Linked DNA regions of Cricetulus griseus. The protein of the gene in region 1 interacts with the protein of each later gene in a biochemical or structural test. Links are inferred from orthologs where the notes say so. Each region holds a gene or a part of one and is shown in the gene's direction. Other genes may lie near its edges. The genes, in order: Gadd45a, Aurka, Cdk1, Pcna, Cdkn1a and Eef1a1.

Region 1 (4,788 bases):
CTATTAACCTAATCTAGATGATCTGTCACTGACATGCCCAGAGGCTTATGTTAGTGATTATTCTAGACCCCCATTAAGGTGACAATCACTGTTAACCATCACAATCGAAGCCTAAACTTGAATGTTGCACTTTTGTCCTTGTTGCTATTTTGCAGGACTAGGGATAAAATTTTGGGCCTGGGCCTGGAGCATGCTAGGAAACTGCTCTACCATTGAGCTAGACTCCTAGGCCCAATGTTGAGAAACTCTTTAACAAGCACATCCCATGTAAAGATTTAAAGTACAGGTATGAGGTACACTAACGCCCTAGGGTGAACCATACACTGACACTCGTTCCTTTACTCAACATTGCTTCTCCGTGACAAAGCCCTTAGGGAATGAATACAAAGTCTATCTCCAATAAATGAACTAGAAAACCAACCTATCACTTTTCCATTAAGAGCAAGGAAATTGGAAAATATTTTGTCCACAAGAGAAAAATTGAAGGATGCAAAATTCATATGTACCCCTGCAAAATTTACTTCTGCTAACTATTAGCTGCACAGTGACCTCAAAATAAGCACTGTTATGAATTCAAACAGATGAGAGGCAATTTTGTTACTTCAGTTGGATCAGGCAATGCTTTTGTATTTATCAAATAAGCTCATAAAACAAAGGGACTTTTGAAGTACTCAGTAAAAGTCTACATTAAAAATTGTTTTTAATGTGTGACTCCTGCTTGCAGTTATGAAGGTTTGCCTTCCACCTACAAGTTGCCATTATCTCAAAGGTGAAATTTTAGCACATGGCTAAAATGTTCTATAGTTACAGCTTCATGATTCAGCATCAGTAATTCAGAGTGAGATCATAGGCAGTGGAAGGTGGTGTCATACTCTTTTGCCTGTGAAGGGGCGACCAGGGAATGGCATAAGCATATTGAATTTAGACTGTGGCTCCTGTGAGTACCACAATTTGTCTCTCAGCTCTTGCCTGATCAGAAGGTGCCCTCGGGAAAGATTTTAAGAATGGTAAATTTGGCTCATTAGGCATGTTGATCACCAGCTCCCCCCACCCACCTTATATGGAGTGGGCAGAAGTTTTATCAGCTTTTCGTGGAAAAGATTCCAACTTGGTACCGTGCCATCACCACACACCAGTGTGCTGGGTTTTCTATTTGGAGCTTCAAATTCTTGCACCCAACCAAAAATAAATCAAGCCAGCCATCAGGGCACCAAAAGAATACTACTGTGAAAAATCAGCATTGCCTGAAACTTAACATATAAACAACACTTCTGAAGCAAGTTTTGCGTGGCACATCCGGACACTTTAAAAATACCATCTGCTTACTAATAACAGCTACACCAGGGTGCATTAACCCTGGAAATAAATTGTAAAATCAGCCCCTTAACACAAACAACACGAGACGACCATCAAAAGATCTCCACAACTAGAAAAACAATTGGCAGGCTGTTTTCAGTACGAGCTGAGGACACTGGAACCACCGCAAAGCCCTCCTCACCAGATGGCTCCACCAACTCCCAGAGCTGGCTCAGGACCCCGCCAACCCGGTTTCTGCACCACTCTCATCCCTGGGGGCTTCCCTCCCGCGTAGCTCCGCCCCCTTCCGCTCAACTCTGCCTGGGCTGGTGGAGTTAGGGTCTGAGTGTCAAAGTCTGCTAATTTGCATAAGCCAATGGGTGCATTGCATGCAAATGAGGCGGGCCCTGATTGGCTGACGGCTAGCCCCATAACTCCGGAATCGGGGGCCTTTGTCCTCCAGTGGCCCGGAGGAAGCTGTGCAGTCCTCACCTACCGAGACTTAGGCGAGAAGCGGCGAAGCGGCGGGTGGGAGCCGAGCGAGCGCGGGGCTGGCGCCGCGCACTGGGGGGGGCAGGAGCAGCCCGCGCGCCGCGTGAGGGACTCGCACTTGCAATATGACTTTGGAGGAATTCTCGGCCGCAGAGCAGAAGACCGAAAGGTAAGTGTGCCTGCGGACTCTGTGGCCGCTGCCCCTCCCGCCGTCGGGGACCCGGCTGACCCACTCTCGCCCTGCCGCCCGCAGGATGGACACGGTGGGAGATGCCCTGGAGGAAGTGCTCAGCAAGGCGCGGAGTCAGCGCACCATCACCGTCGGCGTGTACGAGGCCGCCAAGTTGCTCAATGTGTAAGTGGTCCCGGCCGCCCGCGCCCCTGCCTCCCGCCCGCCCCCCCGCCCGCCGCCCGCCTCTACCCCGAGCTCCCTGGACAGTGTGCACTCACCGCTGCCCCGCTGTCCGCAGCGACCCCGACAACGTGGTACTGTGCCTGCTGGCTGCAGACGAGGACGACGACAGGGACGTGGCTCTGCAGATCCATTTTACCCTCATCCAGGCGTTCTGCTGCGAGAACGACATCAACATCCTGCGGGTCAGCAACCCGGGCCGGCTGGCTGAGCTGCTGCTGCTGGAGAGCGACGCGGGCCCGGCGGAGAGCGGGGGTGCCTCGCAGCCCCCTGACCTGCACTGCGTGCTGGTGACGGTAAGGGACCCGGGGCTGCAGCCCGGAATCTGTTGGGATAGACCTCGGCAGTGCTAGACGCTGATCTCGCGGGGGTTCTGATGGTACCGAGCGTGTCTAAGCTCGTGGGTGGCCTCCAGCGGCGGAAGATAGCCCTGTGAGTCAGCAGGCTGCCCAGCTACCTCTGCCTACCTCTGCACTACCTCGCGTGACTAATTCTCAGAGCAGGACAGATTAGATAAAGCCAAATAAATTCCCGGCTCACCCTTCATTAAGAAGTCAGCTTCATTCTTCATTTGCTCTCAAAGCTAAATATAGAAATAGAGTAGGAGACAGACCTTATTAATTCGCTGGAGATACTCTGGTGTGTACAGAGTGGAATTCTTTTCTCTGAACCTTTGTATTTGTTTAGATGAGCCCCCCCCCCCACGCACACACACACACAAACACACGCCCTTTAAAAATTTCTGGTTGAATAATGTTTTCAGAGAGAAATGTGCTGTCTTGGTCTTCTGTTTTTTTGTTTTTGTCCTTTCTCTGCCTTGACTGGTGTAGGCAAGTGGCACCCTGATTACTTTTGCTGCCAGTGAAAAGTGCCATTCATCACCAGGGAAGATAAGAGTGAAGCTAAGCTGCCTGCCCTGCAGCTTTCACATGGTGTGCGAGAATGTTTTCAGAGCTATTTTACTTATGACCCTACTAGGGTGCATGCTTGATAGGTTCAACTTATGAATGATAACCTCATGCAGAATGGTACAGATAATTATGCAAAACTCTGTGGCCCAGTGTGCATTACAGGTGTTTAGATCTTGCCAAATGCTACTTAACAGAATGCTCAGGTTTTGGCCCTTTCAAAAGTAGTACAATTAGTAGCATAAGCTGATGATTTTATGGAAAAGTAATTTTTCTAAATTTGTTCTTAGAACCCACATTCATCACAGTGGAAGGATCCTGCCTTAAGTCAACTTATTTGCTTTTGTCGGGAAAGTCGCTACATGGATCAGTGGGTTCCAGTGATTAATCTCCCCGAACGGTGATGGCATCTCAATGGAAATAACTGAACCAAATTGCACTGAAGTTTTGAAATACCTTTGTAGTTACTCAAGCAGTTACTCCCTACGCTGATGCAAGGATTACAGAAACTGATGTCAAGGGGCTGAGTGAGTTCAACTACATGGGGGCTAGGAGATGACTTTGCAGATGGACAGAGGTGAAAATAAAGAAGGAAGCTGTGTTGAAACAGAAATCTAAGTCAAAAGGGACAAAAACTACAAAGAACTGTGCAAGAAAGAAAACTGTTGATTTAGGATGGCTGAGTTACATTAAATAAGCCAAATATTGCTTTGTTGAAACCTTAAATGTGTAGCAATAGTTTGTTTTTTTTTTGTATTTGTTTTTTGGTTTTTTTGTTTGTTTGTTTTTTGATCTTTATGCCCTCAAGTAAAAGGAAAGTGAAAAGGATTAATTGTATTTTAAAGCTACAGGTTAATGTATTTTGATGAGATGTTAAATTCTCAGAAATTTTATTATAAATCGGACTAAGTTATTTTATGATATGAAAGGTTATTTATGATAAAGTTTTTGAAGCACAATATCTAAAATAAACTGGTATGGAATAATTGCATCATTTTCACTGTGTGGTTTGTGTTGTGCAACATTGACTATTAACAGACATTTCATTGAAGCCTTGCTTTACACTAGGCAGAAAAATGGGTGATTTTAGAGGGCTTGGATAAGGGAAAAAAATGTTTACGGATTCCCCTTGCAAAGTTTGAATAACTACAATTAGTTATTTTAATGCTACAAAAATGCATGCAAAATGTAGAAGCAGAGAGGAGGGCAACCAGGGCCACTTGGAAGATTAGTGGAGCTTTTGCTGAGGAGAAATCATTTTCTTGGGGTCTTAAGAAATAACCTTAATTTCTCTAGTTAGAGAGAGGAAAGGGATGTTGCTAACAGCAGTTTGTGCAGAGGTGTGGAGGCCTGAAAGATCACAGCCTGCATAGAGACTGACTCTGCATGCCTCTGGTGTAGAAAGATAAGAGAGAGAGGGCTGGAAAGAGTAGGTGGGGGGGTAGGTTCAGACTCTGACAGGCATTCTCGTATCATTTTTACGTATTTGAACTTTCCTCTGTAAATTGGCCACAGTCTGCAGAGGCCTTCATTCTGCAGAAGGAAGTGACATGGTCAGTGTTGTAGGAAGATAACATGGAGCCATAAGGGATAGTTAATTGCCAGAATGGCTGGCTGTACAGTACTAGTGTAAGGCAGTGCATTTTGTAGAACCATGACAAAGGAAAAATTTGATGTCCT
Region 2 (4,921 bases), on another chromosome or scaffold:
TATAATGTTCTGGAACAATGACAACTTGAGCTGTTTAAGAAAATGTTGCCAAATGCTGGGCATGGTGGCCCCCTGTCTTTAGTTCCAGCACTTGGGAGGCAGAGGCAGGCAGATCCCTGTGATTTTGAGACCAGTCTGGTCTACAACACAGGAGGCCGGCCAGGGCTGCATAGTGAGACCCTGTCACAACCAAACCTAAAATGATACCACCAAAACAAATAAGAAATGCAAACATCTCAACAGATTATGCTCCTCTCAGTTTTACTTGGAAGGATTTAAGCTCTCCAGTCCATGAACATGAAACGCAACTGAAGACGCCGGCTTCAGTTACCAACTTGGGCAAATAATCTGATAATTACCAGTACGTGTGCGGTTAGAGTTTGGCTATCGGAATCTGGGAACAGCGGGAGGGGAGGACTGGGGGTTACAGACAGGGGTTACAGTGTTTGCTAAGCCTGCCAGACGCCCTAGGCTCAGTAACAACAGCAGCAGCAGCAGCAGCAGCAGCAGCAGCAGCAGGACCCTCCAGGCCACACACAGCACGGCACTGTCGGGAGACCTCAACAGTTACCACTCATCGAGCTCTTGCTACCGCCGGGTACGACGACCCCGAGCACCCGATCGGCATTAATCTCGACACGCAGGCATCCAGAGACTCGTGCACTTCACGTTAGAAATAAGCGTGTACAAGCCTAACCCTTGCATGAGACACTGGGACTCGACAGAGAGTGACACGAGTTCCAGAAAGTTTCCAGGGCACCCGGTCAGGCTACAGCCGGCCCCCAAGGGTGAGGGCCGGTCCGCGCAGCCTCCGCTCCCGCCAGGGACGCCCGGGGCTGGGTCTCGAGGTGTAAAGGGGGGTGGGGGGGGCGGCGGCCGAGCCTTCACCCGAGTCCCCGGGAGGAAGCACGGGCGGGCGGGAGGAGCCCGGCCCGGGGCTGCAGGGGGCCCACCCCGCTCGGGCGGAGGGGAAAGCAGGGAGCCGCCGGGACCCAGGCCCGAGGCTCGCTCGCTCGCTCGCTGGCTCGGGGTGCAGGCCGGGCCGCTCGGCTCCGGGGCGTCCGGCCTCCCGCCACCCTCTCCGCTGGCTCCGGGCCCTCTCCACGCCAGCCCCCGGCGCCCGCACCAGCCCGTCTCCCTGCGCCTGCCACCCGAGCCCGTTCCGTACCCCCGGATCAGGGTCCCGGTCTCCCGCTCTCTTCTGGAAAGATGGAGGCGCGAATCGTGCCCGATCGATCGCTCCGAGCGCACGCCCACTGCGCACGCGCCAAGGGCAGGCAGCCGAGCGCCGAGCACCCTCCCGCTCACTCGGCCAGCCTGCCCTTCTCGCCATCTTACTCACTGGCACGTTCGAGACGCTCACTCACCTCCTCCGAGCTGATCACCTTCGCGGCAACCCTGAACCCGAAGGGCTGCTGTGTGACCGGCAAACGCCCGATCCTGGGGAGCACGGCGAACGACAGAACGGCCACAGATCGGACAGGCCGTTGGCGCACCACTTCCGGGCGCTGACGGCTCAGTGCGCCTGCGCCCCGGCTACGGCCCGGAACGAGCTTCCCGTCGTCGCGTTCACGGCGGGCCAATCACAGGACGGCGCCGCTTCGCCTCCAGCCAATCAGCTTCCGGAGGAGAGGGTTTAACTCCTGTTTCAAAGGAGAACCTTTGAATTGTAACGGCTGAGCTCCTGGAATCGCTTGGAGTCTTCGCTGGAGACGCGATCCTGCCCCGGGGTAGGAAGGGGACCCGGCGGGCCAGGGAGAGCCTGGGCGCTGCAGAGCGACGCGGGGCGGAGAGGGGCCCGGGGGTGGCGGGCTGTCTCTCGGGGCTCGCATCGGTGCAGCGGAGATCCAGGTGGCCTCGTCCCTCCTTGGGTTTAGGTTCTGGTGGGAATGGGACCCGGACCACCGGCCATACCGGGTGATTTGCAAACCGATGGCGGTGGTATGGACGAAGCAACTGCGGCTCAGTGGGGACCAGGCGGGGGTCCCCTTGTAGAGACGCCCGGGGTCGTGCTGCCCCCTCACCGCAGCCTTTTGAGCAGTCGGTGTCGGTGTAGACCCGCGGAAGCTCAGCTTGTAGAATATTCCGGAAGCCCCGGGCTCGGCCCCCAGCACTGCCTAAACCATCATGGTAGCCCCCGCCTTTAATTCCGATGGTGAGGAGGTGGAGGCAGGCGGATCACAAGTTACATGGCAGATCGGAAGCCAGCCTGAACTGTGACCCTGACTCAACAAAAAAAAACAAAAATAAGTCATCTCCCCATCCCCACACCCAGCGTGGTTGCTCACATCAGCAGTCTGAGGCAGGAGGGTAGCCTTGAGTTTGAAGCTAGCTTCCGATACAATGTGAGAGCCCTTCCCAAAAGTGAGGCCTATCTGGGAATGTAGTTCTTGTGTACCACGCCCTGGATTCAAATCCTAGCACTGCATACACTGGGCACGGTGACCATGTTTGTAATTCCCATTGGGGAAGTGGAGGCAGGAAGATCAGAAGTTCAAAGTGATCCTCCATTATAGCATGTTCAAAGCCAGCCTGGGCTACATGAAACACTGTCTCAAAAACAAATACAAGACTGATATGGTCCCAAATTCCTTTAATCCCATCACTTGGGAGCAGGTAGAAGGACTTCTGAGTTCCAGACTACCTAGGAGGGCTACACAGAGGTACCCCATCTCAAACCAAACAAACAAAATCCTGGCTCCACTGCAAATGTAGGAAATAGAAATATCTTAGGGATAGGATCCTGGTATAGCTAATCATGGGAAAGCTAAAATGCAGGTCATTTAGCCAAGCTGGCATCTGGTCCCAGGGCTCCGTTTCCTACAGGCTTCCTACAGGTGAGGTGGGTACAGCCCCAGTCCTTCACTTAATGCCTCCATCTCCTGCCTAGCCTCCCCCATCTTTGCAGTAGGGGCTTTTCAATAACACGCAGGTGTTTGTCCTGACTGCAAGCAGGTGTTTGTCCTGACTGCAACCCGTATCTGAAAAGGGAAGCCCAAGGCTGATTCCTGCTGTGTCAGGAGAACTTTTCTTACATGGAGTTGTAAATCTTGGCTGAATGGGATCTGTGAAGGTCATCTGATGTAGATGAGAAGGCGAAGGACTGGGATTAGGGGAAAAAATGAGGCCAAGCCAGGAGGGTAGGAAGTGACAGCTTGCAAGGTAATAGATAAACTGGGAAATGGGCAAATGTGATTGGCTGAAACCTGTTCCCCAGGAATCAAGTTAGTGCTGGGTTTGCCACCGTAGGGGAAGCTGAGAGACTGGCAATACCGTGGGATTCAAAAGGCCCAATGGGAATGGCTTGGGAAAAGAGTAGGTGAGCTTTGTTGTTCAAGGGTTATGGGAGATGGGACCATGGCCTGGGGTAGCTGTGCAGCAAATGGGTAACCCAAGCAGGCTGTATATGCTGGGCATCATGTTTTAGAGCAGAAAGAACAAGCCCAGGAGGGAAGAGAATGAGAGGATGTGAGGAGCTGGGTGCAGGATTGTCAGTGGGAAGTGTGAGGTTGCAGGTCACAGAGGCCTGTCTGTCAGAGGCAGTGACTGCGGAGCACAGCAGTACGTGGCTTCCTGTCAATGAAAGGCTCTTGTTTCTCTCTTCAGGTGACATGGACAGATGTAAAGAAAACTGTGTTTCCAGGCCTGTTAAGGTAAAAAGAATTACCTGTAATCACAATTGAATTTTGAAAAGTTGTTTTGAAATGAAATGCATTTTGTTTGTGTGCACCCATTGTTGTAATTTAAGAAAAGCAGCCTTCAAGAAAGATGGCATGAGACAGGGTTCAAGCAGAGAAGGGCTTTTTATTAGGGAAAGAGATCATAAATAGGGGAGGGGGAGACAGGAGCACCAGCAGAGAGAGAGGGAGGGAAAGAAAGAAAGAAGGGTGGGAGCTGACAGCAGCTGAGGGCGTATCCTGTCAGAACAGGCCAAGGATAGATGCCTAAATACTAATATTCCTCCCTCTTATTATAAAAAGATGAGTCATTAGAAAGGGGTAGCAGGTGAGGTGGGGATGAGACCATTGTGTTTTCAAGACTACTTCCTGCTGACCTGGGGGGCATCGTTCATCTTTGGGGGACCTAGGAAAGCTGGGGTGCTAGCCATGTCCTGGAGTAGCTGGCTGTTTCACTTCACTGTCCAGGCTCTGTGGAACCATCAAGGTGCCTCCTGAACCTGGCAAAATGCCGTTCTTGGTGAATCCAAATCAACACCCTAGGGCGTAAAGCGCCTGGTCCTTTCCCGTCACCACAGCATCACTGGGCATGTTTGGTAGTCTTGTGCCTCCAGCTCTACGGCCAACACCTGGTAGTACTGCAACAGTAGCCGATTAGGAATGGTCCGTGGGTCTCCAAAAACATCTCAATAGGAGCAAGGAGGCATAGATGGTGACACAGCTCCCATGAGTGAGGCAGAGAGTAAGACCCAAGGGTCTGCAATTCCTAGCATCCCAGGAATTCAGAGAGGGCCAGTTTCGAGACTGGCACAGGCTGTCACTCAAAGGGTGGGGGCCAAGGATTCTGAGCCTGAGAGATACAGTCGTCTGGTACCCAGACTCCGGGAAAAGCCAGAAGGCGAGGAAAGAACTGTGCTGGAGAAATGTCTCACATCTCTGGGAATGGTCAGAAGTGGATAACCCCACCAGAGACCCATTGTTGGTATGGATGGAAGACAAAGCCGTCAGATTTGTTGCAGGTGGGAGAGAGTGAAGGAGAAGCAGTTGGGTAGGGTCCCAGCATGAAGTGATTACAGAGTGCTGGGAAGCGGTTTTGGCAGGCGTATTCCACATGAGTGAGACAGAACAAGATCCCGTGGCTTTTTGGGGCGCTGGGGTTTGAGACACGGGATCTCTGTGGCTTTGGAGGTTGTCCTGGAACTAGCTCTTGTAGACCAGGCTGCTCTTGAACTCACAGAGGTTCT
Region 3 (4,189 bases), on another chromosome or scaffold:
GCAGGCACATCTATCATGTGACACCTTAAGGATTCACTTAAAAAAAATCTCTTTGCTTCATTTCAGGTACTTATGGTGTGGTGTATAAGGGTAGACATAGGACTACTGGCCAGATAGTGGCCATGAAGAAAATCAGACTTGAAAGTGAGGAAGAAGGAGTGCCCAGTACCGCCATCCGGGAAATTTCCCTATTAAAAGAACTTCGCCATCCAAATATAGTCAGGTGGGCTATGTCTGAATTGAAACAATTCTCCCCATTGTGGATTTTTTTTTTTTTTTTTTTTTTTTTGAGACAGGGTTTCTCTGTAGCTTTGGAGGCTGTCCTGGAACTAGCTCTTGTAGACCAGACTAGTCTGAACTCACAGAGATCCGAGTGTCTCTGCCTCCCGAGTTCTGGGATTAAAGGCGTGCACCACCACCACCCGGCTTAATGTGGATATTTTTATGTTTGTTTAGTTTCTGGGTGCAGTGGGATAGAGTCACATTTATTTTTGTTGATTGTAATGCTAGGAGGAGATAAAAGAGAATAGCCTGTTCAAAGAATTCCAGACATGGTGCTGAGAATTAATGTTGGCTGGAGGAACAGGCATGGTAGCTGTGGGAAGAAAGAAGCCCTTCCATGAGGAGCTTTGCCAGCTCTGATTTTCAGAGCCCAGGTCCCCAAAGGCCCTTTAGGAAAGTAGCTAGGTTGGAATGGGGAAAATGCTTTAATTTTTTATTGACTCCTTTGGGCTGGGTCTTTGAGGATGTTGTCTAGTGGCTCATTAGAATTTCTAGTGGTACTTGGTACTGAACCCAGGGCTTTGGGCATGCTAAGAAAATGTTCTACCACTGAGCTGTATCCCAGACTGTCTTAATTTTTGGGTTTTGAAGTTTTGAGGCAAGACTTGACTCTAGCTCACTCAGACTGGCCTGGAATTTACTGCTTTTATGTAACAGCCTCCCAAGTGCCCACACTATGAGCTTAAACCACCACTCCCAGCACTCTTTAAATTTATTTTGAGACAGGATCTTTCAAAATTACCCAGGTTGGCCTTGTACTCACTCTAGCTTAGGCAGCCTTTGAATGTAAAGATTATGTTCAACTTTAATGTCCATAATTAATTTACTTCAATGAAAGAAGAACAGAGGAACAAAGACAAGCTGTACAGGAAGTCATAAATTACTGTCCTGAAAGGCAGGCCTTCCTCAAGTCTTCAGTGTGAAGGTAGTTGTTGAGAAGCTTCTACTAAAATCCTGAAGCTCGAGGTGGAGGTATTGCTGGGCTCTCATGGATTGTTTTCTCCTCAGTCTTCAGGATGTGCTCATGCAGGACTCGAGGTTGTATCTAATTTTTGAGTTCCTGTCCATGGATCTCAAGAAGTACTTGGATTCTATCCCTCCTGGTCAGTTCATGGATTCTTCACTCGTTAAGGTAAGAGTCTGCAGACTTTTATTAATACTTATGCACTCAGAGTGTATGGCTTATCCTTGTTTTGTGGGTGAATGGTGGAAAATATGTAAGAAAATAGAAGTAGAGAGGGTTTTATTTTCTTCCCACACAGATGAGGTCATCTCTTTATACCAGACCGTTCTAGGAAGTGAAAAGTAGTGTCTGAGGACGTAAGTGCCTCACTGTGGACTATGTGTTAAATTAAGTTGCTGGAGACAGAATATACTATGGCTGATACTTGGGAGGACTTATTCTGTGAAAAATATATTTTGGTTAATGTAAACATTGTATTTCAGTTAAATCACACAGTTATTATTTGATATTTAATGTGATTTATACATAGCCTGTACATATTCACTGATCTTTGTATTTTTAGATAGATTTTAATTTTTCAATGATTTCAAAGGTCTTTTTAGTAACATACAGTTGATAATTCCTTTTATTGCCTCCCCCCCATTTTGATTGCCATTGTTTATGTTATGTATGTCTTAGGGTTACTGTTGTTGTGATGAAACACCATGACTTGGAGAAGAAAGGGTTTATTTTGCCCACAGTTCCATGTAACAGTTCATCGATGAAGGAAGTCAGAATAGTAACTTAAAACAGGGTGGGAACCTTGGGTCAGGAGCTGATGCAGACACCATGAAGGAGTGCTGCTAACTGGATTGTTCCTCATGGCTTGCTCAGCCTGCTTTCTTATAGAACCAAGAACCATATATGTTAACCTAGAGATGACACTACAATGGTCTGGGCTCTCCAGCATCCATTACTAATCAGGCAAATACCCCACAGGCTTGCCTACAGCCTAATCTGATGGAGGGATTTTCTCAATTGAAGCTCCCTCTTCTCCTGTGACATAAAACTACCCAGCACAATATTCTTAATGACTTTCGGACTTTGATTTGTGTCTTGTTGAATGTATAATGTATTAGATCATATATATTAGAATAATGTCAACGTTTTTCTGCCCGTCCTCTTTTCCCCCTTGCTCTTGTTTTTTCTTTTTGTTTGTTTTGTAGCACCAAGATTACTTTTGTTTTCAGAACTAGATTGTAAGGCTTGGGGGGGACATTTCAGGAGGGAAAATACTTATGCTGTAAGCATGGGGACTTGAGTTCTGGTTCCCAGCATCTATGAATCAGGTGTGGTATTGTGTACTTCTGTAATCCCAGAACCTGAGGGCAGAGGAGAAAGGTGTGTGTGTGTGTGAATTTACTGGCTAGCCAGTTTGACCAACATCTCAGGTTTAATGAGAGATGCTACCTCAAAAGCTAAGGTGGAAGCAATAGAGGAAGACATTGACTTCCACCACTGCCCTGGCACCTGCATGTGTGTGTGCAAACACACATACTTGAGTTTTCATACACACACACACACACACACACACACACACACACACACACACACACACACACGAGAATTAGGTTATGATTCAACTTCAGTATTGTCTGTTTTACATTTTTTCTCATTTCAAATTGAAGTCAGTCAGATGTCTCCAAAGAGCAAGTGCATGTGGGAAGTGAGAGAAATGAAAAAGAGCAACTTTATTCAAGAAAAAGGGCTTGATATGAATGTGTTGAGGAAACTTCTTCATAGGAAGCTAACTTGTGACCTAAAGATAGGGGACAAAATTTTAAATGCTCATGTGGGTATAGATAAATCCTTCCATATACATATACTATATGTAATCAGGTTTCCTGCCCACAAGTTTTTTTAGTTTAAAGGGCCTGAAAGGTCCTTTGATAATATAATTATTTCTCGGCATCATAATTTCTTCATAAACAGTGGTCATTTCAGAGTCTTGTGGCATGATTAAGTTTCTGGCTGTTTTTTTCTAGAGTTACTTATACCAAATCCTCCAGGGGATTGTGTTTTGTCACTCCCGAAGAGTTCTTCACAGAGACTTGAAGCCTCAAAATCTATTGATCGATGACAAAGGAACAATCAAACTGGCTGATTTTGGCCTTGCCAGAGCTTTTGGGATACCGATAAGAGTGTACACACATGAGGTAACTGGATTGCTGCCCACAGTTCTGCTCTGGTACTATCAGTTCATTGCTTCTTGTCTCTACAGTCACTCTTTCCCTGTGAAAGTGGAGCTGGAACTTTTGGCATCTTTTGTCAAGGGAGATTCCTGAAGAGGCCTTGCAGAAGGGGTTTACTGTAACTTTTGTAATTCTCTTTATCGATCTTTCTCAGAGCTGTGGTTCTTCCTGATGGGACCCTGCTATGGTCATTCAGATCAACTAAAAGGCAGGTTTTGCTGTCTGATGTCTATATTGTTCTGATACATTTAGGAGCTAGTAACTGTAGTTGAGGGAGGAAGTGCTAGGGATTGAGCCCCAGTCCTTACATCACTGAGCTGTACCCATGGCTCTGTCATCAATTGGTATTCTATTGATGCTTGGCATTTCATTAGGTTATTTTATGTTTCTATGTAGTGGGTCTTGAACCTAGGGCCTCACACATATCAGGTAAGTGTTCTACCCCTGAACTGTGTTCTTATTTTGAGAAAAGGTCTTACTAATTTGCCCTGACTGGCCTTGAAGTCAGTGGACCAGATAGGCTTTGTGAATGCTGCCTCATTTCCCTGCAGCTGGGATTGTGGTCTGCATCATTAGACTGGGTTCCTCTGGTGTTTGTGAAAGGGCAGTGACTTGTAAAGTGCAAGAACATTGACATCTGGGGAGTTGTGAACTTGGAGTCCATCGTGTCAGGTGGACTCCTGTCCCTTTCCCTCCTTGTTTCTTTTGTTTT
Region 4 (4,840 bases), on another chromosome or scaffold:
CATGCCTGGTGTTTTGAAGAGGGTGTGAGGTTCCCTAGAAGTGTAGTTACAGAGGTTTATAAACTGCCATGTTGGTGCTGGGAACTGAACTCTAATTCTTCGAAAGAGCAGCCGGTGCTCTTAACCACTGAGCCATCCCTCCAGCCTTAGACTGGTATCTGAGTTGTTTCATCAATGCCCTTTAACAAAGCAGAGTATAATACATTAAAAAGAGAGTAGCAGCAACTAAGTGAGAAACTCTGGATGTAAGAATGTAAGCAAACAGTGCAAACACCTTCATTCTCTCTTGTGACACTGTGAATCATGCTGGGGCCTGCACAGGTCAGGCCAGCACTCTCCTGTAAAGGCCAGCACTACAACCTTTCATGGGTTCTGGCTAGGGAACCTGAGGATTAACTAAGAAAAGACACAATAGGTCATTTTTGCAAGGAGAATGCCAGTTTATTTCAGAGGGGAGGAGACTTATATGCCAACAGCAGCCACAGTGGAAATTTACTCAAATCAAAGTCCATGCTCTCAAGCCCCCTGGCAGAGGGCAGAAAATTTACACTCTGGCATACAAACCTAGGCAGAAGGAGGAAATGGACAGCGAGCCCCAGGGGCCCCTTAGGTCACCCAGCCGGGTCCCAATGTTAGGAAGGCAGTGGTGGCATACACCTTTAGTCCCAGCACTCTGGAGGCAGAGGCAGGTGAATCTCTGTGAGTTTGAGACCAGCCTGGTCTATAAGAGCTAGTTCCAGGACAGCCTCCAAAGCCACAGAGAAACACTGTCTCGAAAAAAGCAAAACAAAACAAACAAACAAACAAACAAAAAGAGGCATTTGAAATAGAAACTGTGGACTTTCACATTAATATTTTACACTTTCGGCATCAAACATATTTTATCCATCACCAAAACAAAACAAAGAGAAGAAACATTAGAAATTAAAAAAAAAAATAGCTTTACATCCGTTTGTAGCTGGTGTCCACCACCTGCATTCAGTTTCCCCCACCCTTATAATCAACAGGAAAAAGAAATTTCAGTAGAACAAAACGCAGCAGGAACACATGCACCTGTAATGGCTGACATTTTCAGGAATGGGTATTGATTTTAACATGAAGTTATTGGTGCTTAGCCTCTAGGCCCTGGGTTCATCTCCAGCCTAGATGGGGTTCAGGCTAGGGAAAGAGGCGTAACAGGGAACTAATTAGGTGGGACCTATGGATTATGTATCTTAAGAGATAGTCATACTTTGGGGTTCTTTGCAGAAGTGTTCACGGCAAGAAGGAACTCTTTAATCTTTAGGGAGGAAAGTTCAGAGCGCCCAACACAGTGAAGTGATAGAAAACCGGGGTTAAGATGTGGTGGCTCCTTCCTTACTCGGTATTTTGCAGCGTTTTCGCCTACGCAGTAGCAAAAGCGCTCTGTAGTGTTTGAAACAGGTATACTTTTCGACTTCAGGCAGCCCTGCACCCCACCCCTCCCAACCCCCGACCCGCGCCTCCCGGCGCAGCTCGGCTTGCACGTGACTTTCATTTCCGTGGCGCGGAAACTTGCCGGGACAAGCCTCCTCCAAAAGGTGGGCCTCCGCGGATCCCATAATGCCCCACGCTTCCCACGCCCGTACGCCGCAGCCCCGCCTCTGTGTACGCGGCAGGGCGGGCCTTGCGCGGGACTCGGATACGATTGGTTCTGAGGGGAAGGTGGGTGGGGCAGCGCGGTGACGTCGCAACTCTCGCGCACGGAAAGAGCGCGCGCCTAGGAAGCGGCAGCATAAAAACGGTTGCGGGCGCCCAAGTTGGTAGTCGCTCCCTGCGGGTCCTCGCTGCCACTTCTGCATCGCGAGCCGGGAGACCTTCGCGGCCGGCCCTCTCTCCTGTCACAGTCTCTAGTATCTAGTCGTCGCGACTCCGCCAGGATGTTCGAGGCTCGCCTGGTTCAGGGCTCCATCCTGAAGAAGGTGTTGGAGGCTCTCAAAGACCTCATCAACGAGGCCTGCTGGGACATCAGCTCGGGCGGCGTGAACCTGCAGAGCATGGACTCGTCGCACGTCTCCTTGGTGCAGCTCACTCTGCGCTCCGAAGGCTTCGACACATACCGCTGCGACCGCAACCTAGCCATGGGCGTGAACCTCACCAGGTGAGCGGGTGGCGGGAGCTGGGCTCTAGCCCTCCCGCCTCGGGTCTTGGCGGGGCTCCGGCTCCGTGCTCTCATTGGCTGACGTGGTCATCCGCGCCTTCTGATTGGTGTCTGGAGCTGGGGGCGGAGCCCGAGGAAGCGCGCGGTTCTGAAAAGCCCGCGCTGGTGGCCGCGCGAACCCGCTGTTTCCGCGCCAAAGCCACAAAACGGGTGCCGGCGGGAAAATGCCTGCGTTGGAGATCAGTTCATTAAACGCCAGCAGCTTTTTTTATTTCAGGGCACAACCTTGTCCTGGCTAATTTTAGCTGCCTACTAAACGTGTTCTGGTGAAAATGTGGTACTGTCCACTTAGAGGGACAATAGGCCTTTTCTACTTGGAGTCTAGAATCTCATTGCGAATCATTTGTGGGAAAATTTACCAGTCTTAGCTTTTAACTTTGTTACAGATGCATGAATTTGCCACCGGTATACGTTTTAAAAGATTTGTGAAAAGGCCACATATGATATAGGGCACACTCTGATACACTGGAAACCAAGGACATCCTGCTCAAAAAATTATTTACTGGCATATTGCCTTTGAGTGGTTTTAAGGATCACATTCCCGATAGTTTACTCCCCCCCCCAGGGGATTTGGTGTGGGCGTAAAAGGGTAACATCTTGTAATTGCCTTTAAAAGAGTAGATGTTGAACACATGGTGTTGATAAGCCCTGCTTCTTGTTTTCTAGCATGTCCAAAATACTAAAATGTGCTGGTAATGAAGACATCATTACACTAAGGGCTGAAGATAATGCCGATACTTTAGCACTCGTATTTGAAGCACCAAGTAAGTTACACCTCTAAAACTCAATTGTTACAGAAAGCAAAGTATGATCTGTTTCTCAAAACTAAGGATATTAACAGAATTGCGGTTGTAAAGTTTTACACCATAGGTATGAACATGTGCTTCAATAACATTTGCTTCCTTTTGTTAGATCAAGAGAAAGTTTCAGACTATGAAATGAAGTTAATGGACTTGGATGTTGAGCAACTTGGAATCCCTGTGAGTATCTTGTTCTCGTTTCTGGTGGTCTTTGAACTCATTCTGTAGACTCAAACTCAGCAGAGATCTGCCTGCCTCTGCCCCCTTAGTGCTGGGAGAATATCCTGTTTTCGCTGGTGAATTTTACCAAGCTGTGATACCAGCTGATGAGTTCCAAAGTGGGTATTTGGAATGAAAGACAATTTCACTAAGCAATGACAGTCTAAAATTGAGTTTTAAAGAAATCAGATACTTGTCCTCACACTTCTGACCTTTAACTTTGGGATTTACAGGAACAGGAGTACAGCTGTGTGGTAAAGATGCCTTCTGGTGAATTTGCGCGCATATGCCGAGACCTTAGCCATATTGGAGATGCTGTTGTAATATCCTGTGCAAAGGATGGGGTGAAGTTTTCTGCAAGTGGAGAGCTTGGAAATGGAAACATTAAGTTGTCACAAACAAGTAATGTTGATAAAGAGGAGGAAGCTGTAAGTAGTAAAAGTTGTCTGCAGTGTCTGAAAGGGGAATGAATATAAGCTTAACTGCTGAGCTGGTTCTCCAGACCTAGCTCTTTTGAGGTGGAGTGTGAGTAGACCAGGCTGTCTTTGAACTTAGATACTCCACACTCTGCATATATGCTTTCACAGGTGGGACTGGGAAGCTAGGTGTTTCCAAGCTTTTGCTTCCTAGAATGACTGACAAATAAGCATTAACAAGTGAACAGAAGAAAATGGTTGGGGTTGTGAGTCTGTTGGGATCATGTAGATCTTGTAGTAAGTAGCTTTGTGTTGGACTTTCACGTGCTACCCCATTTAATGGTGCAAAAGCAGACTAAGTAAAGTTGAGTGTTGATAAGTTTTAAAGTCCTCAAAAATGAGGAAGATGTTGGAAAGGCAAAGGAAAAATGCCTGGAAAGCCTCATTCAAGCAGAAGATACTAGGCTAATTGCTAAATATTCAGAAGTCAAAACTTTTTAATTATACTAAGTTTTTTAAAAAGTTTTGCCAGCTAGTCTGAGCATCAGACTATAAATTGCAGACACAGTCTGAACTAAATATGATTTTTAGTGCTAAATGTAAAATTCGGAGTGCTTAACACAAAGTGTTTAATGTTATTTTGTCTGCAACTTGTATAACTGAGGATTAGAACATATATACACAACCCATAGGGCTGGTTCTTAACCTTAATCTGTCTGCTTAATTATTCCTACTTACCTGTCATCCTCAGATCACAAGGTATTTAATTCATAAGTATTTTGTTTAAAGCATAAGCATTACCACAACAAAGGAAATTAAGTTTTCAGTATTCACATGTTTCTTATTTCCTTAGTTTGAATTGGGACTTGAAAAAAATTCCTGATAAAATGAAAATTGGTCAACATGTCCCTTAGCTTGCATTTAACTTGTTGCTTCTTGTTACTAGAGTTGGTTATGAGCTGCTGGATGTGGGTGCTGGGAACCAAACTTGGATGTTGTGGAAGAGCATCGAGTATTAACTGTTGGGTCATCTCGCCAGCCGTGGTTACTTTTGGGGGTGGGAGTTGAGTGTTGTACATTGAACCCAGGACTTATATTAGTCAAGTGCTCTACTGGTTAGCTATCATTCCATTTCTTTTTCCTCTATATAGATTCTTTGGAAGAGATTAGTGCTTGCAGTCTAGAAAAGAACAGCCACTTTCTTTGTGTTGCTTGGGGTATGCTTC
Region 5 (4,833 bases), on another chromosome or scaffold:
GCTCAGTGGGTTAAGGAGCTTGCTGCCAAGCCTGACAGCTGGAGTTTGGTTCTCAGAGCCTACATGGTGGAAGGAAGCACCCAACTGCTGGTCTTCGTCCTCTGTCTTCCACTAATGTGCCCCTGTACTGGTACATGTCCACACACGAGAAATAATGCGGGTTAAAAAAAATAATAACAGACAGCTGGGCACTGGTGGCACACGCCTTTAATCCTAGCACTCGGGAGGCAGAGGCAGTTGGATCTCTGTGAGTTTGAGGCCAGCCTGGTCTCCAGAGCGAGTGCCAGGATAGGCTCCAAAGCTACACAGAGAAACCCTGTCTCGAAAACCAAAAAAAAAAAAAAAAAAGAAAAAAAAGAATAAAAATAAAATATTAATTTTTTTAATATTTATTTTTATTTGTGTAGGTGCTTTGCCTGCATGTGTGTCTAGCACTTCATGTGTGAAGCCCTGGGTGCTGAGGTCTTGGGGGTGGGCACTACAGGAAGGAGACCACCTCTTCTCTCCAGAGGCATCACTTGTCCCAGTATCTATTCTCTTCCAGTGAGACTCTCTGTGCACAAAGAACCTGAGATTTTTCTTGCATTTTTAAGAAAATTTTTTTCTTTTTGTCATGGCCATGAATGTATATGCAGGCACACATGCCAGGTTCTCATGTGGAGGTCAGAGAACAACTTTCAGGGGTTGTTTTTCTCCTTCTTCATGTGTGTGGGTTTTGGGAGCCAAACTCAGGTCCTTAGGCTTGGTGGCGTATAAACTGATGGTGTGTCTGCTCTATGGTATGGCTAAGGGGAGGTATTTTTTTTAATGTAGTTATGAGGAGAGAAAAGTCAGAGGCATCTGGAAGAGACCGGAGCAGAGAGAGAGAGTAGTAGAGGGAACATGGCCAGTGGACTGGACTTGTCCATGAGTGAAACAGGAGCAGAGAGAGAGAGAGAGAGAGAGAGAGAGAGAGAGAGAGAGAGAGGGAGAAAGAGAGAGAGAGGGAGAGGGAGAGGGAGAGGGAGAGAGAGGGGGCAAGCAGAGAGAGGGAGAGAAAAGAACAGGGAGAGAGCAGAGAAAGGGAGAGAGCAGAGAAAAGGGAGAGAACAGAGATGGGGAGAGAGCAGAGAGAAGGAGAGAGCAGAGAGAAGGAGAGAGCAGAGAGGAGAGACAGGGAGAGCAGAAAGGGGGTAGAGAGAGAGAGGGAAGGAGGGAGACAGAGAGAGCAGGCCACAGGCAGCTGTTTTTTTCCTAAGCCCTGAGGGTTTTGTTTTGTTCTTCTCCTTTTCTCTTTGCTTCAGTCCATGGGCATTGATCCCTGGCATGCTAGGCAGGGGCTCGACCACCAAGCTTCATCCCCTAATTCTTTGGTTTTGCTCTTTGCATGAAGTTTCATTTACTGAAACCTCAGGTTGACCCTGAATTCACTCTACAGGCCTTGAACCTTCCATCCCCCTGCTTCAGACTCCGGCCTGACAACGTGAGTATTCTCCCAAAGGCAAGTCCCTTTCCACCCTCTTCCCCTCTGTTCAGAAACCCTAGGTTAGGGAGGATGGGCGGCTGATGGAGCCATTTCCAGCCAGTTGAAATACAGAGAGGGAGATTGGACCTTTCTTGAGGTCTCAGGGAGTGAACCCCCACCCTTCCAGATCTAGGCTGAGCACAATGCACCCCCTATAAGAAATTCTGGGGGGCTTCCTAGCAAGCTGTCTCCTAGGTCCCCAGGGGATTCAGGAGATTTGCCAAATAAGGGATTTCCTGCATGTGGGCCGGTAACTCCTTCGGCTTTGATGCTGTTTTTTTTTTTTTTTTTTTTTTTTTTCCTTTCCTTTGAAAGCTGTGTACCAGAAGGAGGAAGTGGGGTCCTGCTGTGTGTGGAGGCAGTGTGCACTGTTCCTTTGTCCCTGTGTGGACCTCATGGTTTCATTTCTTGTGGTGCTGGATGGTCCACATATGTGAGAACCCATTTCCTAGGCGCCTCTGCAGTGTTCTCTCGGTCTGTGCCTCAGCGGGAAAAGCCTAGGATGACTTCCTAGGCAGGAGGACATCCCATCTGCTCATAGAGACTCCGCAAGAAGTAAGTCACATCAACTGTGTCCCCAGCCAGGGACTACAGAGACCTCTGCAGCCATACACGGCCATCTGTCAGCTTCCCATCTATGGTCTGGTCTAGAGAAGGCAATTTGAGTACTCCTGAGCCAGTTGACAAAGTGCACACATCCTCTTTAGAGCCTTCTCCTTCCTCCAGCCCAGGGAATAGACCTCCAGGCCCTCAAGATTGGGAAGCTATAGGACAGAAAGGGCCTGGACCTCTGACTCACTGCATGGAGAGCACCGGCCACCTAGAACACCTTTCCTGGATTCACGAGTGTGAGAGATGATCTCCTTCTCCCTCAAATCTTTACCTCAGTGAAGTAACTGGCTCTGTTCTATCTTAGTTTCAGTTGGTCTCACGTAGAATGAGTGGGCCTCAAACTTATGGCAGTCCTCCTGCTTCTTCCCCTGAATATCAGGGGTGTGTTGCCACACTTGGTTCAGTTTAAACAGATCTTATGTGGCCTAAGCTGGTCTCAAAGACATGATCTTCCTGCCTGGGGTTATAGGTGTGTGCCCCAAGCACACCCTTGTCACATTTCATAGTCTGTCTGTTTCACAGTGCCAGGCCTCGCTCCATGTCCCCTTCATGCCCCCTCCATGCCCCACCCACCCTGCCAGCTCTTCCTCAGCCCTCTCCTAAGCTCTCAAATGTTTCCAGGAGGACACATGGTCCCCTCTCTACAAGTGCAGGTCTCTAAGAAGCCACAGAAGATCAACAGAGGACATCACACTGGTGACTCCTGGCTCTGCAACCATAGTGCGGCCACTGTCACTGGGGCTTAGAGGAGCTGCTGCTACATTCCGGGGTGGTTCTGGTGCCAATATAACCCCAGAGGAACCCAGAGACACCTTAGGGCAAAGACAAAGATGAGCAGCTGATGGAAGGGGCCACAGTAAAGACCCGGACTCACCCTGACCCCTGCCAGAGTCATTCCAGCCAAAGCTAGCAGCTCCCAGGGCCTTGTTTCCTGTCATCTGCCTACCTGTGCTGGGTGGAGGGGGGGCCATGGTTCTGAACTTCTGAGGCCATTGCCCCACTGTGCAATCAGAGGCTCCGAACCCCAAATCCTTAGCACTTTGATGGTGTATGCTGGGGCTTGTCTTGGGACGGGCTTTAACAAAGAACAGAAATAGTAAAGAATGCCAAGTCCTCTCTTGGGGACCATCCAGAAAGTTGAGCTTGAGGGAGGGGTATCTTGAAGGCTGTTTGTTTTGTTGAAACAGGATCTCATGTAGCTCAGGATGTCATCCAATTCAATTTATAACTGAGGATGACTTTAAACTTCTTTCTTTTTAAAAAAGATTTTATTTATTATGTATACAACATTCTGCTTCCATGTATATCTGCACACCAGAAGAGGACACCAGATCTCATAACGGAATGTTGTGAGCCACCATGTGGTTGCTGGGAATTGAACTCAGAACCTCTGGAAGAACAGTCGTTGCTTTTAACCTCTGAGCCATCTCTCCAGCTCCCTCTTTCTTTTAAAGATTTAGTTTATAGTTATGTGTATATGAGTGTGAGGTTTGTGCATGTGAGTGCAAGTGCCTGAGGAAGCCAGAAGGGGGCATCAGATCCCCTGGATCTAGAGTTCCAGGTGGCTGTGAGCTACCAAATGTAGATTCTGGGTCCTCTGCAAGACCACTATATACTCTTAACTGCTAAGCAATCTAGCCCCAAGACCTTGAACTTCTGAACCTCCTGCTTCAATCTCCTGGTGCTGGATGACAGGTGTGTGCTGCCACACCCAGTTTATACAGTGTTGGCATGGGTCCCAGGGCTTTGTACATGCTAGACAAACTCTATTGACTGAGCTACATCTTCAGTCTATAATTAGATATTTTAAAAACAAAAATGATTGAGCTGCATTTAAATTTGTGTTTTTACCTAACAAACCACATTAAAACCCATTGGTGTGGGTTTGATTCTTACATCACAACAAGCAAGGATGAAGAAGGACATAGCGAGGGCCCAGTGTAGTGGTGCTCACTTTTAACCTCAGCACTCAGGAAGCAGAGGCAGGAACTGGCCAGCACAGCAGGTAAAGGCATTTGCCATCAAACCCGACTGAGTTCCATCCCCGGGCCCACCTGGTAGGAGAAGACTGATTTCTCTGACATCCCCGGGGCCCCATGAAACACATGCACCCACATGCATGTGCACACACACTCACTCACACAAAATAAATAAAGTATAACATGTGCATACATATTTTTTAAGAAGCACAAGCTGAAGCCAGGCACAGTGGCACATACCTTTAATCCCAGCACTTGGGAGGCAGAGGCAGGTAGATCTTCATGAGTTTGAGGCCAGCCTGGTCTACAGAGTGAGTCCTAGGATAGCTGGGCTACATAGAGAGACTCTGTCTCAAACAGACACAGGAGAAACACATGGCAGAGCGGACAACATCTGAGGAATGACAAGCAGGGTTGGATTTTCTGGTGTGACACACCACACGTATACATACGCACCCTTACCTACACAGATGAACACATACATACAATATACAAGAAAGAAAAAAGAAGTTGATTTTTTTTCTGGCATAAATTCTAGTCTTCAATAACTAAGGTTGTACAGGTAAAGAGCCAAGTCAGGCACACAGAAATCTTTCCACAAACGTTACTACTGTTACTAGTGTACTGATACTCCCAGAGAAAGGGTTCCTTGGACTCACTAGTTACTTAAGCTTCTGACTGGCTGGATTTGGGCGCCAGGGGTTGGGTGGGTGGGGGTGTGGGGTGTTGGGTGAGTGT
Region 6 (4,823 bases), on another chromosome or scaffold:
GTCCCCACACATAGCTATACACAGCATGTGCATTCACACACACTAAATAATGCTATTTTTAAAAAAATTAAAAACAACAACAGTTTGGGTTGTGAAAACTAGAACTAGATAATAGGTAAGAATCAAGTATCATGTAAATTTGCTTTCAACTCATCCCAAAATTTGTTTTATATTTCAGTTTTTTTCCTTCCTAGCTTGACTGTGGAGTCTTGTCCGGAAGCAAATAGTTCCTTTGCAGATCCCACATGTGGACACCGGACAGTAGGTCCTCAAATGCTCCTTATTAGGTTGGTTCAATAATATCAATTGTTTGTTACTAGGCAGTGATGTTGTACATCTGGAGGAGATCTCTTGAGCCCATAATCAGGTTATTAGGAATAAATACTCTAAGGCTAAAAATGTAGCTTAGTGATAAGAGTGCTTGCCTGGTGTGCTGAGACCCTCGGTTCCATCTCCACAACCCCATATTCCATTACAAAATACCTTTTCACCGTCCCTAGCATTAAGAAACAAAACAACAAAGAAGTTTTTCTTTCTTCTGAGATCCTGCCCGGAGAGGCATTTAAAACTGGCCAGGGCCAAAAAAAAAAAAAAAAAAAAAGAAAAAAAAGAAAAGAAAACAGGCTAGGGCCGGCATGGTGGCGCACGCCTTTAATCCCAGCACGCAGGAGGCAGAGGCAGGGCGGATCTCTGTGAGTTTGAGGTCAGCCTGGTCTACCTAGTGAGTTTCAGGGCACCCAGGGCTAAAGAGACTGTCTCAAAAACAAAACAGCCACACAATCAGAACCACAGCAAAACGCAGTTATGATCCTTGGAACTGTAGGAATGACAAGCATTTAAATAATAGGACGAGCCATTTTTGAGAAGCTCTGATTTCACAAGTGTCAGGGATGGGCTCTGGGCGAGTAAGATTGCTAATGCTGGCCTCTAAATGAGACCACGTGGAGTTGATTAGATTCTTTTCATGTTCCTCGTGCTCTATCAAATAACTGTACCCAAATACACACACACACACACACACACACAATGCGCGCACACACAAAATCCTTTTTTAGCTTAAGAAGCCCAGAATCAGAAGTAAAGCTAACTGTGGGACTTAAGTATTATTCTGAACGGAACTCCCAGGGCGTGAAGCGCGCTTCAGGCTTCCAGAGAAGCAGCTGGCGCTGGATGGAATGAACCAAGAGGCCAGCACAGGGGCAGATCCGTCGAGCTCTCGGCCACCGAGCTGAGCCCTTAGGTTCTGGGGCTGGGAAGGGTCCCTAGGATTGTGCACCTCTCCCGCGGGGGACAAGCAGGGGGATGGCGGGGCTGACGTCGGGAGGTGGCCTCCACGGGAAGGGACACCCGGATCTCGACACAGCCTTGGCAGTGGAGTCAGGAAGGGTAGGGACAGATTCTGGACGCCCTCTTGGCCAGCTCCTCACCGCCCCACCCCCGACTGGAGCCGAGAGTAATTCATACAAAAGGAGGGATCGCCTTCGCCCCTGGGAATCCCAGGGACCGTCGCTAAATTCTGGCCGGCCTCCCAGCCCGGAACCGCTGTGCCCGCCCAGCGCGGCGGGAGGAGCCTGCGCCTAGGGCGGATCGCGGGTCGGCGGGAGAGCACAAGCCCACAGTCCCCGGCGGTGGGGGAGGGGCGCGCTGAGCGGGGGCCCGGGAGCCAGCGCGGGGCAAACTGGGAAAGTGGTGTCGTGTGCTGGCTCCGCCCTCTTCCCGAGGGTGGGGGAGAACGGTATAAAAGTGCGGTAGTCGCGTTGGACGTTCTTTTTCGCAACGGGTTTGCCGTCAGAACGCAGGTGAGTGGCGGGTGTGGCCTCCGCGGGCCCGGGCTCCCTCCTTTGAGCGGGGTCGGGCCGCCGTGCGGGTGTCGTCGGCCGGGCTTCTCTGCGAGCGTTCCCGCCCTGGATGGCGGGCTGTGCGGGAGGGCGAGGGGGGGAGGCCTGGCGGCGGCCCCGGAGCCTCGCCTCGTGTCGGGCGTGAGGCCTAGCGTGGCTTCCGCCCCGCCGCGTGCCACCGCGGCCGCGCTTTGCTGTCTGCCCGGCTGCCCTCGATTGCCTGCCCGCGGCCCGGGCCAACAAAGGGAGGGCGTGGAGCTGGCTGGTAGGGAGCCCCGTAGTCCGCATGTCGGGCAGGGAGAGCGGCAGCAGTCGGGGGGGGGACCGGGCCCGCCCGTCCCGCAGCACATGTCCGACGCCGCCTGGACGGGTAGCGGCCTGTGTCCTGATAAGGCGGCCGGGCGGTGGGTTTTAGATGCCGGGTTCAGGTGGCCCCGGGTCCCGGCCCGGTCTGGCCAGTACCCCGTAGTGGCTTAGCTCCGAGGAGGGCGAGGCCCGCCCGCCCGGCACCAGTTGCGTGCGCGGAAAGATGGCCGCTCCCGGGCCCTGTAGCAAGGAGCTCAAAATGGAGGACGCGGCAGCCCGGCGGAGCGGGGCGGGTGAGTCACCCACACAAAGGAAGAGGGCCTTGCCCCTCGCCGGCCGCTGCTTCCTGTGACCCCGTGGTGTACCGGCCGCACTTCAGTCACCCCGGGCGCTCTTTCGGAGCACCGCTGGCCTCCGCTGGGGGAGGGGATCTGTCTAATGGCGTTGGAGTTTGCTCACATTTGGTGGGTGGAGACTGTAGCCAGGCCAGCCTGGCCATGGAAGTAATTCTTGGAATTTGCCCATTTTGAGTTTGGAGCGAAGCTGATTGACAAAGCTGCTTAGCCGTTCAAAGGTATTCTTCGAACTTTTTTTTTAAGGTGTTGTGAAAACCACCGCTAATTCAAATCCAACATGGGAAAGGAAAAGACTCATATCAACATCGTTGTCATTGGACACGTAGATTCAGGCAAGTCCACCACAACCGGCCACCTGATCTACAAATGTGGTGGAATCGACAAACGAACCATCGAAAAGTTTGAGAAGGAGGCTGCCGAGGCAAGTATTCGAAGGGAAAAGGTCGGGGGGGGTGGAAATCTACCGTAAGCAGGAAATTGTTTATTTAGAAACTAGATGTTTTGAGTGTACTAACTGCGAATCACTGAACAGATGGGAAAAGGCTCCTTCAAGTATGCCTGGGTCTTGGACAAACTGAAAGCTGAGCGTGAGCGTGGTATCACTATTGACATCTCCCTGTGGAAATTTGAGACCAGCAAATACTATGTGACCATCATTGATGCCCCAGGACACAGAGACTTTATTAAAAACATGATTACTGGCACTTCTCAGGTTTGTGAAATTTACTACCTTCTGACCCTTACCTCCAGCTGGAAAGCTTTGTTATTAACGGGAGGTAACTTTTTCTTAGGCTGACTGTGCTGTCCTGATTGTTGCTGCTGGTGTTGGTGAATTTGAGGCTGGTATCTCCAAGAATGGGCAGACCCGTGAGCATGCCCTTCTGGCTTACACCCTGGGTGTGAAACAGCTAATTGTTGGTGTTAACAAAATGGATTCCACCGAGCCACCTTACAGCCAGAAGAGATACGAGGAAATTGTGAAGGAAGTCAGCACCTACATTAAGAAAATTGGCTACAACCCTGACACAGTAGCATTTGTGCCAATTTCTGGTTGGAATGGTGACAACATGCTGGAGCCTAGTGCTAATGTAAGTGACTTGAAGAAGGTGGTTAAATGGAAAAGCTGTAAGGGGGGAGAGATTATAAAACATTTGGCTACTCTGCATTTCAGATGCCTTGGTTCAAGGGATGGAAAGTCACCCGTAAAGATGGCAGTGCCAGTGGTACCACACTGCTGGAAGCTTTGGATTGTATCCTGCCACCAACTCGTCCCACTGACAAGCCACTGCGACTGCCCCTCCAGGATGTCTATAAAATTGGTGGTAAGTAGAGCATTCGGACACTGGACTAAGATGTTTTGAGGTGTGTTCAGTTGTCTTCACCTTATATACTGTAAATGTTTTTAGGTATTGGGACTGTTCCTGTGGGCCGAGTAGAGACTGGTGTTTTAAAACCTGGAATGGTGGTTACCTTTGCTCCAGTCAACGTTACAACAGAAGTAAAGTCTGTTGAAATGCACCATGAAGCTTTGAGTGAAGCTCTTCCTGGAGACAATGTGGGCTTCAATGTAAAGAACGTGTCTGTCAAAGATGTCAGACGTGGCAACGTTGCTGGTGACAGCAAAAATGACCCACCAATGGAAGCAGCCGGCTTCACTGCTCAGGTAAACAAGATAGGTGTCAAGAGTGTAATATTGATAGCAGCATGCAAAACCTGAAGGCAAGATTTAACCAAATGCTGTTTCTTTCAGGTGATTATCCTGAACCATCCAGGCCAAATTAGTGCTGGCTATGCTCCTGTACTGGATTGTCACACAGCTCACATAGCATGCAAGTTTGCTGAGCTTAAGGAGAAGATTGATCGCCGTTCTGGTAAGAAGCTGGAAGATGGCCCTAAATTCTTGAAATCTGGTGATGCAGCCATCGTTGATATGGTTCCTGGCAAGCCCATGTGTGTTGAGAGCTTCTCTGACTATCCTCCACTGGGTAAGTAGAACTTAAGTTTCTGTTGCACTGAGTATTGTTTGGATATGAAATGCTGTATGAACAAGTGCTCATAACTGTTTCTGTGTAGGTCGTTTTGCTGTTCGTGACATGAGGCAGACAGTTGCTGTGGGTGTCATCAAAGCTGTGGACAAGAAGGCTGCTGGAGCGGGCAAAGTCACCAAGTCGGCCCAGAAAGCTCAGAAGGCTAAATGAATATTACCCCTAACACCTGCCACCCCAGTCTTAATCAGTGGTGGAAGAACGGTCTCAGAACTGTTTGTCTCAATTGGCCATTTAAGTTTAATAGTGAAAGACTGGTTAATGATAACAATGCATCG

What was found.
Region 2: the proteins of Gadd45a (region 1) and Aurka form a complex in vitro, tested with the Homo sapiens proteins (2 studies listed by BioGRID). The link is inferred for Cricetulus griseus from reciprocal best matches to the Homo sapiens genes GADD45A and AURKA.
Region 3: the proteins of Gadd45a (region 1) and Cdk1 form a complex in vitro, tested with the Homo sapiens proteins (5 studies listed by BioGRID). The link is inferred for Cricetulus griseus from reciprocal best matches to the Homo sapiens genes GADD45A and CDK1.
Region 4: the proteins of Gadd45a (region 1) and Pcna form a complex in vitro, tested with the Homo sapiens proteins (4 studies listed by BioGRID, with this or other methods). The link is inferred for Cricetulus griseus from reciprocal best matches to the Homo sapiens genes GADD45A and PCNA.
Region 5: the proteins of Gadd45a (region 1) and Cdkn1a form a complex in vitro, tested with the Homo sapiens proteins (3 studies listed by BioGRID). The link is inferred for Cricetulus griseus from reciprocal best matches to the Homo sapiens genes GADD45A and CDKN1A.
Region 6: the proteins of Gadd45a (region 1) and Eef1a1 form a complex in vitro, tested with the Homo sapiens proteins (2 studies listed by BioGRID). The link is inferred for Cricetulus griseus from reciprocal best matches to the Homo sapiens genes GADD45A and EEF1A1.

What each region holds. Positions count from the first base shown.
Region 1 is NC_048601.1:76,185,107-76,189,894, forward strand, and holds Gadd45a (growth arrest and DNA damage-inducible protein GADD45 alpha), read left to right. Parts: upstream 1-1,744; 5' UTR 1,745-1,913; coding exon 1,914-1,957; intron 1,958-2,041; coding exon 2,042-2,143; intron 2,144-2,238; exon of another isoform or gene 2,239-2,258; coding exon 2,259-2,496; intron 2,497-3,398; coding exon 3,399-3,512; 3' UTR 3,513-4,102; downstream 4,103-4,788. UniProt on the Homo sapiens protein: In T-cells, functions as a regulator of p38 MAPKs by inhibiting p88 phosphorylation and activity.
Region 2 is NC_048599.1:6,970,750-6,975,670, forward strand, and holds the start of Aurka (aurora kinase A), read left to right. Parts: upstream 1-1,591; 5' UTR 1,592-1,730; intron 1,731-3,606; 5' UTR 3,607-3,611; coding exon 3,612-3,653; intron 3,654-4,921. UniProt on the Homo sapiens protein: Mitotic serine/threonine kinase that contributes to the regulation of cell cycle progression.
Region 3 is NW_023276806.1:268,282,634-268,286,822, forward strand, and holds part of Cdk1 (cyclin-dependent kinase 1), read left to right. Parts: intron 1-66; coding exon 67-223; intron 224-1,290; coding exon 1,291-1,414; intron 1,415-3,270; coding exon 3,271-3,441; intron 3,442-4,189. UniProt on the Homo sapiens protein: Plays a key role in the control of the eukaryotic cell cycle by modulating the centrosome cycle as well as mitotic onset; promotes G2-M transition via association with multiple interphase cyclins.
Region 4 is NC_048599.1:46,330,908-46,335,747, forward strand, and holds the start of Pcna (proliferating cell nuclear antigen), read left to right. Parts: upstream 1-1,888; 5' UTR 1,889-1,898; coding exon 1,899-2,119; intron 2,120-2,845; coding exon 2,846-2,943; intron 2,944-3,091; coding exon 3,092-3,159; intron 3,160-3,431; coding exon 3,432-3,626; intron 3,627-4,840. UniProt on the Homo sapiens protein: Auxiliary protein of DNA polymerase delta and epsilon, is involved in the control of eukaryotic DNA replication by increasing the polymerase's processibility during elongation of the leading strand.
Region 5 is NW_023276806.1:257,585,130-257,589,962, forward strand, and holds the start of Cdkn1a (cyclin-dependent kinase inhibitor 1), read left to right. Parts: upstream 1-1,819; 5' UTR 1,820-2,059; intron 2,060-4,833. UniProt on the Homo sapiens protein: Plays an important role in controlling cell cycle progression and DNA damage-induced G2 arrest. Involved in p53/TP53 mediated inhibition of cellular proliferation in response to DNA damage.
Region 6 is NC_048597.1:189,545,323-189,550,145, reverse strand, and holds the start of Eef1a1 (elongation factor 1-alpha 1), read left to right. Parts: upstream 1-1,766; 5' UTR 1,767-1,799; intron 1,800-2,743; 5' UTR 2,744-2,777; coding exon 2,778-2,921; intron 2,922-3,032; coding exon 3,033-3,212; intron 3,213-3,291; coding exon 3,292-3,588; intron 3,589-3,671; coding exon 3,672-3,822; intron 3,823-3,906; coding exon 3,907-4,163; intron 4,164-4,250; coding exon 4,251-4,485; intron 4,486-4,573; coding exon 4,574-4,698; 3' UTR 4,699-4,823. UniProt on the Homo sapiens protein: Translation elongation factor that catalyzes the GTP-dependent binding of aminoacyl-tRNA (aa-tRNA) to the A-site of ribosomes during the elongation phase of protein synthesis.